Linked DNA regions of Caenorhabditis elegans. The protein of the gene in region 1 interacts with the protein of each later gene in a pairwise test. Each region holds a gene or a part of one and is shown on either strand. Other genes may lie near its edges.

Region 1 (6,783 bases):
CATTTTTCACTGAATTTTTGATGCAATGTGTACTTTCAACAAATTTTTCAGTACATTTTAAAAATAATTCAAAATATTTTTTTTCCGATTTCTTGATGCACCATGTCTCCGAGAGTTTTTATACTTTTATATTGGCGCTATTTTTGTTCGGTTTTCCTTTTTTTTCAATTTCTTTTTGAGATTTTGTTTTGATGCACCATCTCGGAAACCTCTCTATTTATGATAGTTTAGGGCATTTTTCGTAGTGTTTACGAAATTATACATTTGAAATTTTTTTAAACTATATAACCTTCTTTTAATCGTTTTTTGAAGTTAAGAAAACGATTTTTTTTGAATTTCTAAACTGTCATACTCCAAAAACTTTAAGTCCAAATGTTCCCAATTTTTTTTGGGCAAATTCTAGAGCAAACCCTTTTTAATGTACCCCACCCCATCCTTTCCCAAACTGTGAATTTAAATGCATCTTCTCCCGTATCTCCAATTCCTATCAAAACCCATCTCTGTGATAATTAATCACCATATACCTAACTTATCTTCTCGCTCTTTGGTGTTTTATTCTCTCCATCCCCTCCTTCTAAAAAACACACCCTCTTGAGAAAGGGGAGTAACCTGGGGGCCAAGAAGGAAAGAAAAAAAAAATCATAACTGAAAACGGTTTCGTTATATTCCTCCTCTTTCTCTAAGAAAGCCACACCCTAAATTCTCTGTACGCTTTGTCTCTTCGTCTCCGTGTACTATTTCTCTTTCTCTCCGGGGTAAGGGTGGGGAAAGGGGCACCGAGAAGAAGATGTGTTGCCTCTTTTTTTTTGCATTGCTGACTGTGTGTGTGTGTTGTCTAAACGACCGTTTGTGATTGATTCTGTGTTATATATGGGGATGGGGAAGGGGAGAGAAGAATCGGATGAGAAAAGATGGAATGGGATTTCTGATACTACTTTGTTATTCTAGTACAGCCCCCTATAAAGTTTCTTATCACACTAGCGTTTCGCCTATAAACTGACTAGTTTTGGTAGTTTTAGGTTTGAGCTGGGTTTTTGGCCTGAATTTAGAAATTAGAAGCAAAACAAAATTTTGAATAAAAATTTTTTTTTCGAGGAAATTTTTTCTAAATTTTCCCAAAGTTTTAGTGCTAATTTTGTTTAGAAAGTAAGTAGTAAGGTATTTTAGGTTGCACTTGTAATTAAATACGTATATTATTCAACATTTCAATAAAAAGTGTTTTAATCGCCTAATTTGTTTTACCGATGCACCATGATTTGGGTTACCCTTACAGCTGCTAGATTTGAATAATTTTTTTGATACCCGTCACTTCCTAAACTATGAAAACCCTTTTCTAACTTAAAAAAACAAAAATTTCAGGAATTTCACAAAACATTTTGTCAAAATTGAGTTAAACCCGTGAGAAATCAATTTCGGTTTGCTTTTTGTCCGAGAGGAGTACACAAATCTAAATTCTCGTAAAATTTTTAATATTGTGGATTATGAACTTGTACGTTTAAGAAGTTTAAAAAACGTTAACAAAGCTGATTTTTACCTGAATTTCATCGTGTACTCCTCGTAGACAAGCGAATTTTCGAGCTATTTCATTAATTTTTTTCAGGCGGATTTTGGTGCTGTAAACATCCAAAAAAAATTTTAAAGTGAATTATTTTACTTCTGAAATTAAATTTTTCTAAAAAATCTCGAAGACACAAAAAATTACACAAGAAAAAATTTGTGTAGTCCTCTCGGACAACCGAACTTTCAATTTTTTGATTTACTTCAAAACAGGGCACACTTTTCGGCTATAAACTAAATTTTTTGTAGCTTCCCATTGTTTTTTTTATTGTACTTCTTAATAGTATTTTGGTATATTGAACATTATGTAGCTCACATTTCAATTGTCCGTCCACACTACCTCCTCCCATTCAATCTCCCGCTCTGTTTTTTACCTTTTTAATTTGATTGCTGATATCTCAGCGAGTTTTACAGATATCAAAAAATTACCAATTACCGTAATGTAGACCATAAAATTTTCTACATTTTTGTACTTTACAAAATTTTACCAGCTTGTAAACGAACAGAGATATTCACTGTCAAAGTGAGAAAGGGGTAATAACAAGCATGGCTGCATACACCTGTCATTTCGTGTCAGGAATGAATTTCAAACAACGGTTTTCGTTCAAATGAAAACTTTTTCACCTTTTTCTTTTTTCCTGTCACAATTACCCGGTTACAACAACAGCCGCCCCCCTCTCGATTACACAATAAACAATGCCGAAAAATTGGGAGGTAGAAAAAATGTAGACTAGCCCCCCCTCCCCGGCCTCTGCTGACTCAAACTAATCTACTACTGTTCGTTTCCCCCCTTTTTTAGCTATTACTATTACTTTTATGCTTTCCATTTTCATTTTCTTGTTTCTTCGTCTTCTTCTTATCAATCAATTCCTCCCAATTACAGGTCTTTCTCTAGGATGGGTCTCCGTTCGAGGGGTCTCCTTCTCCTCTCCCTCGGGATATGCTATCTTCAGTTATTTACCCTAGCAAATGTAGCATTAAACTCCAGTAAGTTTCAGTTTTAAGTGTATTTATAGAACGTTGAAGGAAAACAAAATTAAAAGTTTTAAGGCCAAAAAATTTTAGCAAAAAAAAAAAAATTTTAAGCCTAAAATGTCTATGCCAAAAATTTTTTAGCCTCAAATTTTTTGGAAATTTCATAAAACAGCTTTAACTTTGTTGAAATTTTGAAATTTTAGCTTAAAAAATATTTAGCATAGATTTTGTGGAAATTCCAAAAAATCTAATTTTTTTTTGAGATTTAAAGAAATTATGGAATTTGGCAAAATTCTTAAATATCCTGAAACATGTTTTTTTCAAAATTTTTGTCCCTAAATTTTTGTGATTTTTTACTGAAATTTATTGGCTAAATAAAAAAAATCTGATTTTAATCAAAAAACGCCAAAAAAAGTAGGAAAGTTGCTAATCAAAAAAAACATTTCCATTTCTGAAATTTGTCTTTATAAAGCTAAAGAGAATTGGAAAACAAATAAATATAAAAAAAATCTGCTAACTTCTTAAACACTTTTTTTTTCAAATTTTGAGCAAAAATTTGTTTTTTTAATTTTGGAAAAGCAACCTTTTTTTTTGTGGCTTAAAGCCTAAATCTAAAAAAACTCTAAAAAACCTATTTTTTTCAGACGTCAGAGTTAAACGCCAAAGTGGAACAGATAGTCTTCTCACAGTCGAATGGGAAGGAATTCAAACTGGTAAGTCTCACATTTTTACCTAAAAGCCCTGAGGCCCGAGCTTGAAGCCTAAAACGCAAATAGAGAATATTTAGATGCGAAGACTGAGTAAAAAAGCCTAGTTTTTCGTTGAAAACGCGCTCTATTGAATTCTTTTTTCCAGGAGATCACGCTGACTCAGAAGTAAAAGGATTCCTCGTTGAATACCGGCCCGAGCGAAGTGGAGAATGGCAGCTGCATCCGGGAATCATACCGTACAAGGGACCAAATCATCAGTACCGGGTACAGATTCCCAAGCTCCCCACCGGAATCTCCTATCTCGTACGGATCAAGGTTATCGGCGAGAATAACGAGGTTCTTGTGGAGACACCCGAGATTCGGGCTCACAATGAAATTGTCTCGATTAAATGTGAAAATGGTAAGATTTTTAGAAACAGCTTAAAAAAAAACAAAAAACCGTAATTTCAGATGACCTAACTGCACCTCGCTACCCACAAGTGACAGAAGTCGCCCAATACTCTCTTGCCATTAAGTGGGATGCTCCAGACTGTGGATCCGTCGGAGACTACCAGGTCGAGTTGACCGGTGTTTCTGCTCCATTTGACATCCACCGACAAACTGTCACTCAGCCACACGTCTCTGTCACAAATCTTCTGCCGGGCACCTTCTACAGTGTGAAGGTTCGTGCCGCCGATCGCAGCCGCAACGTTGGACCATGGAATTCGGAAGTTTTGGAGGCAAAGACCAAGGGAGACGCACTTCCGATCTCGAATAATATTCAACTTTTGTATCGTACCGACTCGGAACTCCGTGTCAGCTGGCAACCATTCACCGATCCTAGACTTCAGCATTACGAGGTAAGCAGTTCTTAAGAGTAGATCTAGACATTTTCAAAATCTGAGTGGGTACTCAGATGCCGGCTAATACGTTTTATGGCCTTGATCATTTTGTATCGATTAGGCTCCCGCCGCCGAAAATTTACCCGATTCGTCGGGTCTTGGTACTGAAGTCCCAGATCTGATACCGTCAAATTTTGCAAGCCACTGGCACGGTCCTTGGAAAATTTTCAGTGATTTTCGAAAATATGGCGCTATTTGTTCTACTGAACTTGAAAGTAGGGGCATTTTTGGCTAATTCGCTACGAAAATTAGACGGCAAAGTGTTAGAAGTATCATTCGTGGGCTACATGGCAAACGGGCCGCCTGACAATCTGCTGAGCCGAGGACATGACATGCATCTTCTCCGATGGCAATTTTTGAAAACCCCTAAACTAACTTAGATATATTCTAGCAATTCCGAGTGCACGTGGTGTCAGAGTGTCTCATTTCGGCTTGATCTGCGTAGATCTACAAAAAATGCGAGAGAAGAGAAGCAGAGTTCTCAACTGAATTTGCATGGTTAAGAACGTGCTGACGTCACATATTTTTGGCGAAAAATTCCCGCATTTTTTGTAGATAAAACCGTGACGGATCAGCCTGGCACCACGTGTGAGGCCCGTAAAATTTCTAGAAACGCCATCAAAACCTTCATTTTTCAGGTCACCGCGGTGGAAGTAGACGATGACTCCCGACGCGTCGAACGTCGTCGTGTCGATCCAGCCCTCAACTCGTTCGCCCTTACCGGTCTCCGCCCGAACACCAAGTACACGATTGGAGTCATCGCTTTCGTTGATCATGAACCAAAGCAGGTCTACCAGATCGAGGCTTACACCACATCCGGTGGAATCGAGAGTTGGGAGGAGAAGCCGCAAGTTGTCGATCAGGGAAAACAACAGTTCGCAGTTCACTGGAAGCTTCCGACCACCTCGATCACGGTGAGCAAGTTCATTTTGGAGTACAGACTTCCAAATGAGACGACATGGAGAACAAGTGAACAGAAGGGAGTTGCCGATGAGTCAGGAGACTATTCAGTTGCTCTTTCACAAATGAATGCACCATACTACACTGTCAGAATCGTTGCTATCGATGATCAGAACAAGGTTGTCGCTAGAACCGAGGAATTGACTGTCGGAGAAGCAGCCGAGACATCCTGCATCGGATCCGCCGGTGTTCCAACCAACATCCGATCCGCCGACGTTGATGGTCAATCCATCAAGTTGGAGTGGGATGTTCCAAGATGCGATGAGACTCACACACCAATCGATGGATATGAATACATTGTGTACGAGGCATCACAGAGTGCACCAGTCGATGGAGCATCTTATGTCGGGGCTCCACACGTCATCATCAAGGGGCTCAAGCAGAATGTTGATTACACATTCAAAGTAAGATCTCGAAGTGTTAATGGACATTCTCAATGGAGTAAAGACGTGATCATCGAGACAGCAGTCGCAGGAAGTGTCAGATCAGGTATTACTTTTTGAACATTTTTTTAAATGTATTAACAATTGAGTAAAGTAAACCCTAACCTTGTTCTTATATATGTCAGGGATGGGCGGCAAATTTTTTTGTCTACAAGTTCGGCAAATCGGCAAATTGCCGGTTTGCCAATTTGCCGGAAAATTTGATATCCGTCAATTTGCCGATCGGCCGATTTGCCGGAAATTCTCAATTCCGGCAATTTGTCGGCTTGCCGATTTGCCGGAAATTTTCAATGCCGGCAATTTGTCGGTTTTCCGATTTGCCGGAAATTTTCAATTCCGGCAATTTGCAGATTTGTCGAAAATTTCAATTACGGCAATTTGCCAATTTGCCGGAATATTTCAATTCCGGTAATATGCCGATTCACCGGAAATTTGATTTTCGGCGAATTGCCGGTTTGCCGGAAATTTCGATTCCGGCAATTTGTCGGTTTGCCGATTTGCCGGAAATTTTCAATTCCGGCAATTTGCAGATTTGTCGAAAATTTCAATTACGGCAATTTGCCAATTTGCCGGAATATTTCAATTCCGGTAATATGCCGATTCACCGGAAATTTGATTTTCGGCGAATTGCCGGTTTGCCGGAAATTTCAATTACGGCAATTTGCCAATTTGCCGGAATATTTCAATTCCGGTAATATGCCGATTCACCGGAAATTTGATTTTCGGCGAATTGCCGGTTTGCCGGAAATTTCGATTCCGGCAATTTGTCGGTTTGCCGATTTGCCGGAAATTTTCAATTCCGGCAATTTGCAGATTTGTCGAAAATTTCAATTACGGCAATTTGCCAATTTGCCGGAATATTTCAATTCCGGTAATATGCCGATTCACCGGAAATTTGATTTTCGGCGAATTGCCGGTTTGCCGGAAATTTCGATTCCGGCAATTTGTCGGTTTGCCGATTTGCCGGAAATTTTCAATTCCGGCAATTTGCAGATTTGTCGAAAATTTCAATTACGGCAATTTGCCAATTTGCCGGAATATTTCAATTCCGGTAATATGCCGATTCACCGGAAATTTGATTTTCGGCGAATTGCCGGTTTGCCGGAAATTTCGATTCCGGCAATTTGTCGGTTTGCCGATTGGCCTGAAATTTCAATTCCGGCAATTTGCCGATTTGCCCGAAATTTTCAATTCCGGCACTTTGTCGGTTTGCCAATTTGCCGGAAATTTTAAATTCCGGCAATTTGCTTTTTCTTG
Region 2 (6,965 bases), on another chromosome or scaffold:
CCCCCCCCCGTTTTTTTTCACGATTTTTACTAAAATCAACAGATTTTGGAATTTTTGACAAAGCTCAAATCAAGTTTGAGTTAGAAATGAGTTCAGATAAGCAGTTTTGACTTTAAAAAATTAATACGAAATGTTCTCGTGGGATCTCCAGACTGGTTCTGATTCTTCCGATCTTTGATGTTCAAGTCTGTTTCAAGCTTCCTGGTGCTCTCGGTAATGCCAAAACTTGATAAACTCTCTTTAACAAGTTCCTACTAAAATTCCTAGCACACACACCATAAACATTTTTACGCCATCCCCAAGAAACCAGTCAGAAACAGCGTATTAACAAGTTGCAGTTATTTTTGATCAACAACAGAACATTCATATACTAAAATCAAGAAAGGATCAATAGTTAATCGGGTTTCCTTGTGTGCGGATGATCTCAAACAGTCTGTCCTCCATTGATCTGACCAAACTTTTCAGCTGGTTGTCCGGAATAGACTTCCAAGCGTCGAGAATTCCTTGCTTCAACGATGCAACTGTTGGGTAAGTCTTGTTCTGAGCATACACGATACGGACAAGAATCCCCCACAAATTTTCGATTGGATTGAGATCAGGACTTCGAGCTGGCCAATCAAGAAGGTTGATCTTCTTGAGCTTGAAATAGTCGCGGGTTGAGTTGCTCACATGGATTGTCGCATTATCCTGCTGAAATCTAAAGTCTTTTCTGGAGTAGTGACGAAGATATTTGGATACAGTGTCGAGAACGGGAAATTTTCCTACTCATTTCATGCAGGGACACATTGAGCAATTTCATAACATCCAGCTGAGCGCGTTCAGTGTCCGAAAGGGCAGATCCTCGAGGCATTGCAAGTTAGACTGCTTTCGAAGTAAGCTTTCCAGCCTCTATATGTGTGCCACAACACATGCCACAATTCCACATTTAATAATTCACGCAAAAAATAGTAAATAACATCTGTGAGGGACAATTTAACTTGAAATATTGGTCCCATGGAACCTTGTAATCAAAGAAAAACGATTTGATTCCTGATAAGCCTTCCATTGTTTCCTGCTGCATATTTTGCCAAATCAGCTTGACTACACAGTCGAAACATCTAAAGTGCGTGCTAGGAATTTTAGTAGGAACTTGTTAAAGAGAGTTTATCAAGTTTTGGCATTACCGAGAGCACCAGGAAGCTTGAAACAGACTTGAACATCAAAGATCGGAAGAATCAGAACCAGTCTGGAGATCCCACGAGAACATTTCGTATTAATTTTTAAAGTCAAAACTGCTTATATGAACTCATTTCTAACTCAAACTTGATTTGAGCTTTGTCAAAAATTCCAAAATCTGTTGATTTTAGTAAAAATCGTGAAAAAAAACGGGGGGTCCTATAGAAGTTTCACACTGGATTTTGACGTTTTTTCCAGCGCGACCTCAGTTTTTGAGATAAACTTCTGGAAAAAAATGTATATAGGTTTTTTTCAATTTAAAAACGAATGGCATTAGCAGTTTTTCAAAAAAATTTTCGGAAGTTCCTCAAACCTTCAAATTAGGGGGGGTCCTATAGAACTTTCCCACACTGTATTTTCTATAATGTTTTATTCTTCATTTCAAACAAAACTTCCGTTGGCATCAATGCCAAATTCTGACGTAAAATAAGAATTTGAAAGATGCTCTGCCCTCCGTCTTCAACGAAACGTCGCCCCGAGCTGTATCGAATTTCTTTGCCTCTTCTCAGAGTGTGACGAACTCGAAAACGAGAGAGAACTAATAGTTTTCATTTGTGTTTCCTTCTCCTTCATTGCCGTCCTTCACTCATGTGTCCGCAGGAAGTTTTCGAACGCAGGTGGCCTCCATCCGGCACTTGACAGATTTGGCGCGGCTCCCCGTTTCCGGTGTTTGCTCACTTTTGTTATGAACCAAAGCTTGACCATGTCACTTAAGAAAAAAGCCCTTGAAGAATCCCTTTTTCGGCTTTTTGTGTGGATGCTTTTAGATTTGATAGAATGGGGTCCCCTATTGTTTTAAATCATTCAGTTGTTTAGCGTAAGTGGATGTAGTTATTTGAGTTTGGAGGTTTTGTATCGTGGTTTTTAAACTAAAACGAATATTCTTTTGTGCAAAGAAATTTCTAATTTGCTCATTTACTCACTTTTACTTCCAAATTTTGAAGTTATGTTTTTTCGGTTATCCTTCCCGCTTTCCCGCTTCCCGTTTTAATAATTTCTGTCACTTTCTCTTTCATCATCACTTCTTCCGTTCCAAATCGATTACCCAATTTTATTGACAACACATCAGTGAAACTTGCAAATATTTGGAGGACATACTTTATACTCCATCTCCGAATATATACATAAATGTGTGGTCGGTGGTGTGTGTGTTGGCGGAGACCCCGGAGAGAGAGAGAGAGTCAAACTGCGAGTAACTGGAGAGATGGAGGATGATGCATTCGGTGAGGGACTGTGTGCTGTTGAGAGGAAATCGCTGGCATTTAATAGAAGAGTGCGTTTTTGTGAGTGTGTGTGTGTGTGAGTGTGTGTGAGGGCAGTCAGAGCGCGGCTGTGTGCGAGGCTGAGCGGGACGAGCGCGTCCAGGCCTGCAGTCGTCTCCCCTCTTGTTGTCTCTGCTTCTCTAGCCACACTCTCTCGTTCTCTGCATTCGGTTTTGTGTTGGTGTTGTGGACGCGGGGGTCGTTTTGGGCGATCGATAGCTGCCAGCTCTTCTTGTACTTGAACCAGTTGAAGTCATCTCCTTTTTTCACTTTGAGAGCATATTCTTTCTTGTTTCATCATTTTCAAAATTTGCTGCATTGTGCAAAACCCCTTTTTTGTAATGTCTCTTCTGTTTCTGACAGCTGTGTGTTCAATTTCAACACAGCTTGTAAACGGCGGAGTCGGAGTTAGTCTGACTCATCGAAATATTGTTATCAGTTCAAAAATGTTGACAGTTGTGTGGGCTGGAAATGGAACCACCTTTTAAAATTACTTTTGACATGATATACTTTTTGAGTAACACTTTCTTGGTAAATTTTCATTCGTAGAATTTATAAGCTTATTAAATTAAAGCCACAAGCTTTCCCATTTTCTATTATTTTTTGTCTCCCAGGTGATTCTTTTCCGCACTTCGTCATTATTTGTTCCCACGTTGTATTTATCCTCTAAAGCTCTCTCTGATTTTTTTTGTTACATTCTTCTCATTTATTTGCTCATTTGTTTCTGTTACGGTCTCTTCATAATCAACTTTCTTTCATTTTCATTTCTATGGAGGTTTTAAAACAATTGTTTTTCAGCGAAATAAGATTATGGCTGATTCGAATGACACTCATGCTCCACCAGAGCCGGTGCTAGAAGTACCGCCACCACAGGAGATTCGTATTCTGGAGACTGCTGATGACATTCACCAACGTCGTCAGGAAGTATTAGGTCACTATTCAATTTTCAAGGATCACTCGCAGACAAAACGAGATCGTCTCGAGGAAGCTCGTCAGTTTCAATATTTCAAACGGTTAGTTCTAAAATTTTGTTGGGTTGTCTAGAATTCTAATTTTTCTGTTAAAGAGATGCTGATGAGTTGAACGTTTGGATTCTTGAAAAGCTCCAGACAGCTCAGGAAGAAAACTTCAGAGATCCGAGCAATCTCCAGGTTGGTACCATCTTCTCATTATTTCTCAGTCGTATTCATCATCTATTTCAAAGTTATCTAAAACATAAATTTTCTGTGGTTGGTCCCCAGCTTTCCATTCTCAATCCTTTTTGACGACAACTCGCACAATTCTTTTCTCTTGGTTCATTTTCCCTCGGGGGGACACTCGGACCCCTTTCTTCTGCTGCCTTGTTTGGGGGCACACAAATGTCTTTTGGGAGCAACGACAAAGGCGCAGCAGCAAAAATATATTGATTTGAGTGGTTCGCTTCAGCGCTTTTCTCTGTGCCTTCGTTTCGAGAAACGCATCTGCGACCCCCAACATGCATGCTCACTTGAAGATTAGGAACTGAAAGCAATGTAGTGCACAATTACATTTATAAACAATTGGCTCGAGTAGAGAGGAGTACATGTGAATTTTGCTAACTTAGTTATTTTCTGGGAAGCAGAAAAGATGAAAATGAAATCTTTTTACACAATATCGTCATTTTGGAAGATATGAGCGCTAGAAATTAGGAGTTAAAAAGTCTTTGAGGAAACAATTTTTTACTGCTCCTAATATCATTCACCTTTACTTATAATGAAACACACTGAAAACCCAATAAATTCCTGTGGGGGTTCCAATTAATCCTCGCCGCCGTTTTTTATCATGCGTTCCGATCGAAAGATGAGATGAATACATATAGTAATAGACGGGAATCTATAAAAAGTCGGGCGTTCGTACACGGCCTTGACACTGCGTAATCGCAACTGACGTGACCTGACTTGATCCGCCGGTTTCCTGTAATGCCTGGAATGATAAGTAATACTGACGAGTAAGAAGATAGATGAGGCGATTATGTTTCTGTTGCTAGGTTTAGCGGTTGAAAAAAAAATGAGAGTAAGAGTTGACTAGTTTTGAAGCATGAATTGAAAGAGAAAATTTTTTTACATCAAAATGAAAGTATGATCAAATGTAAATCATAAAACATTTTCAGGCCAAGATCCAGAAGCATGAAGCGTTCGAAGCTGAGGTTCAAGCTCACGCTAAGACCATCGCCAACCTCGACAAGACCGGAAACGCTATGATCCAACACAATCATTTCGCTAGCGAACACATCAAGGTACTTAAAATCACTAAAGACATTTGACAGTCTGATGATTAATTATTTTCAGAAACGCTTGGAAGAGTTGCACGCCCTCTGGGATAAGCTCTTCTTCAAACTGAAGGATAAGGGAATTAAGCTACAACAAGCACTTAAACTTTTGCATTTTATTCGTCAATGCGATGAAATTCTCTACTGGATTCGAGAGAAGGAAACCTATGTCACCGCAGAAGACATGGGAATGGATCTCGAACACGTTGAGATACTTCAGCGTAAATTTGACGACTTTTTGAAAGAACTCGGTAACCATCAGTACCGAATCAATGAGATCAATCAAGCTGCTGACAAACTTGTCGAGGAGGGACACTCTGAGCACGATCAGATCTACAAGAAGCGCGATGACGTTAATGATGCTTGGCATCGTTTGAACACTTTGGCGGCCACTCGTAAGGAAGGGCTCTTTGGAGCTCATCAAGTTCAACGCTTCAATCGCGATGCAGACGAGACCCTTGCATGGATTGGAGAGAAGGATCTTGCTTTGTCAAGCGATGATTACGGAAGAGACCTCAATAATGTTCAAGCTCTTCAACGCAAGCATGAAGGAACTGAACGTGATCTTGCTGCTCTTGAAGGAAAGATGCTCCAATTGGAGAAAGAAGCTCATAAGTTGGCAGAAACTCATCCAGATCGTGCTGAAGCGATTCATCAAAAGAACGATGACACCAAAGCCGCCTGGAATGCACTCAAGGAGAAGGCTCAACACCGCAAAGATGGACTTGAGAGAAGCTTCCAGCTTCATCGTTTCTTGGCCGACTACCGTGACTTGATTAGCTGGATTGGAGACATGAAAGCTGTCATCGGAGCTGATGAGCTTGCAAAAGACGTGGCTGGCGCTGAAGCTCTTCTTGAAAGTCATCAAGAACACAAGGGAGAAATTGATGCTCGTGCTGACTCGTTCAACCAAACTGCATCCGCTGGACAAAAGCTCGTTGAGATGGGAATTCCAGAGAGTCCAGAAGTTCAGGAGAAGCTCGAGAAACTTGACCACGAGAAGTCTTCTCTTCTTGGATTGTGGGAGGAACGTCGTATTCTCTACGAGCAATGTATGGATCTCCAACTCTTCTATCGTGACACTGAACAAGCCGAAACCTGGATGAACAAGCAGGAAGCGTTCCTTGCCAACACTGATTTGGGAGATTCACTAGATTCTGTCGAGCACCTCATCAAGAAACACGAGGACTTTGAGAAATCGCTTGCTGCTCAAGAGGAGAAGATCAATGCACTTGACGAGTTTGCTACCAAGCTCATTCAAGGACAGCATTACGCTGCTGATGATGTTGCCGAGAGACGCCAAGCTCTTCTTGACCGTCGTCGTCGTCTTCTAGACAGAGCTCGTCAACGTGGAAATGCTCTCAAGGAAAGCTACAAGCGCCAGACATTTGACCGTGACTGTGATGAGATGGTTAGCTGGATCACTGAAAAACTGTCCACCGCTCGTGACGATTCTTACTTGGATCCTACCAACATTCGTGGAAAACTCCAAAAGCACATCAACTTTGAGCAAGAGCTTAAGGCTAACGAGAACCGTTTGGACGATATTCGTTCTACCGGAGAGCAAATCATCGATAGTGGACACTTTGCTGCTGATCATGTAAGTTATCAACTTTTTATAACTATTAGTAACTTTTTTTCAGATCGGAGACCGCCTTCGTCAAGTCAACAACTTGTGGAACGAATTGGTCGATGCTACAAACAAGAAGGGAGCCAAACTTCGTGAAGCTGGAAACGAACAGCAATTCAATCGCAACATTGAAGATGTTGAAGCATGGTTGTCGGAGCTTGAAGGACAAGTTGCTTCCGAGGATTATGGAAAAGATCTTGTATCTGTTCAAAACCTTCAGAAGAAGATTGGACTTATTGAGTCTGATTTTAACGCTCACAACGATCGTGTTGATGGAATCAAGCAACTTGCTCAACAGTTCCAAGAGGAGGAGCATTTCAATGCTCCAGTCATTGTTCGCAAGCAAGAGAATCTTCAGCAGCGCTACAACGCTCTCCGTGATCCACTTGAGAAGAGAAAAAGAAAACTCGGAGAGTCCCACCAAGGAAATCAACTGTTCCGCGATATTGAAGATGAGCTGGCTTGGATCCGTGAGAAGGAACAAGTTGCTGGATCAACCAATCGAGGACGTGATTTGATTGGAGTTCAAAATCTCATCAAGAAGCAGCAGGCTCTGATCGCTGAGATTGCC

What was found.
Region 2: the proteins of let-805 (region 1) and spc-1 interact in a two-hybrid assay, tested with the Caenorhabditis elegans proteins (one large-scale study listed by BioGRID).

The regions. Positions count from the first base shown.
Region 1 is NC_003281.10:2,655,643-2,662,425, forward strand, and holds the start of let-805 (Fibronectin type-III domain-containing protein), read left to right. Parts: upstream 1-2,440; 5' UTR 2,441-2,453; coding exon 2,454-2,544; intron 2,545-3,176; coding exon 3,177-3,245; intron 3,246-3,387; coding exon 3,388-3,642; intron 3,643-3,692; coding exon 3,693-4,081; intron 4,082-4,761; coding exon 4,762-5,572; intron 5,573-6,783.
Region 2 is NC_003284.9:3,123,384-3,130,348, reverse strand, and holds the start of spc-1 (Spectrin alpha chain), read left to right. Parts: upstream 1-3,287; coding exon 3,288-3,490; intron 3,491-3,543; coding exon 3,544-3,628; intron 3,629-4,605; coding exon 4,606-4,731; intron 4,732-4,783; coding exon 4,784-6,364; intron 6,365-6,407; coding exon 6,408-6,965.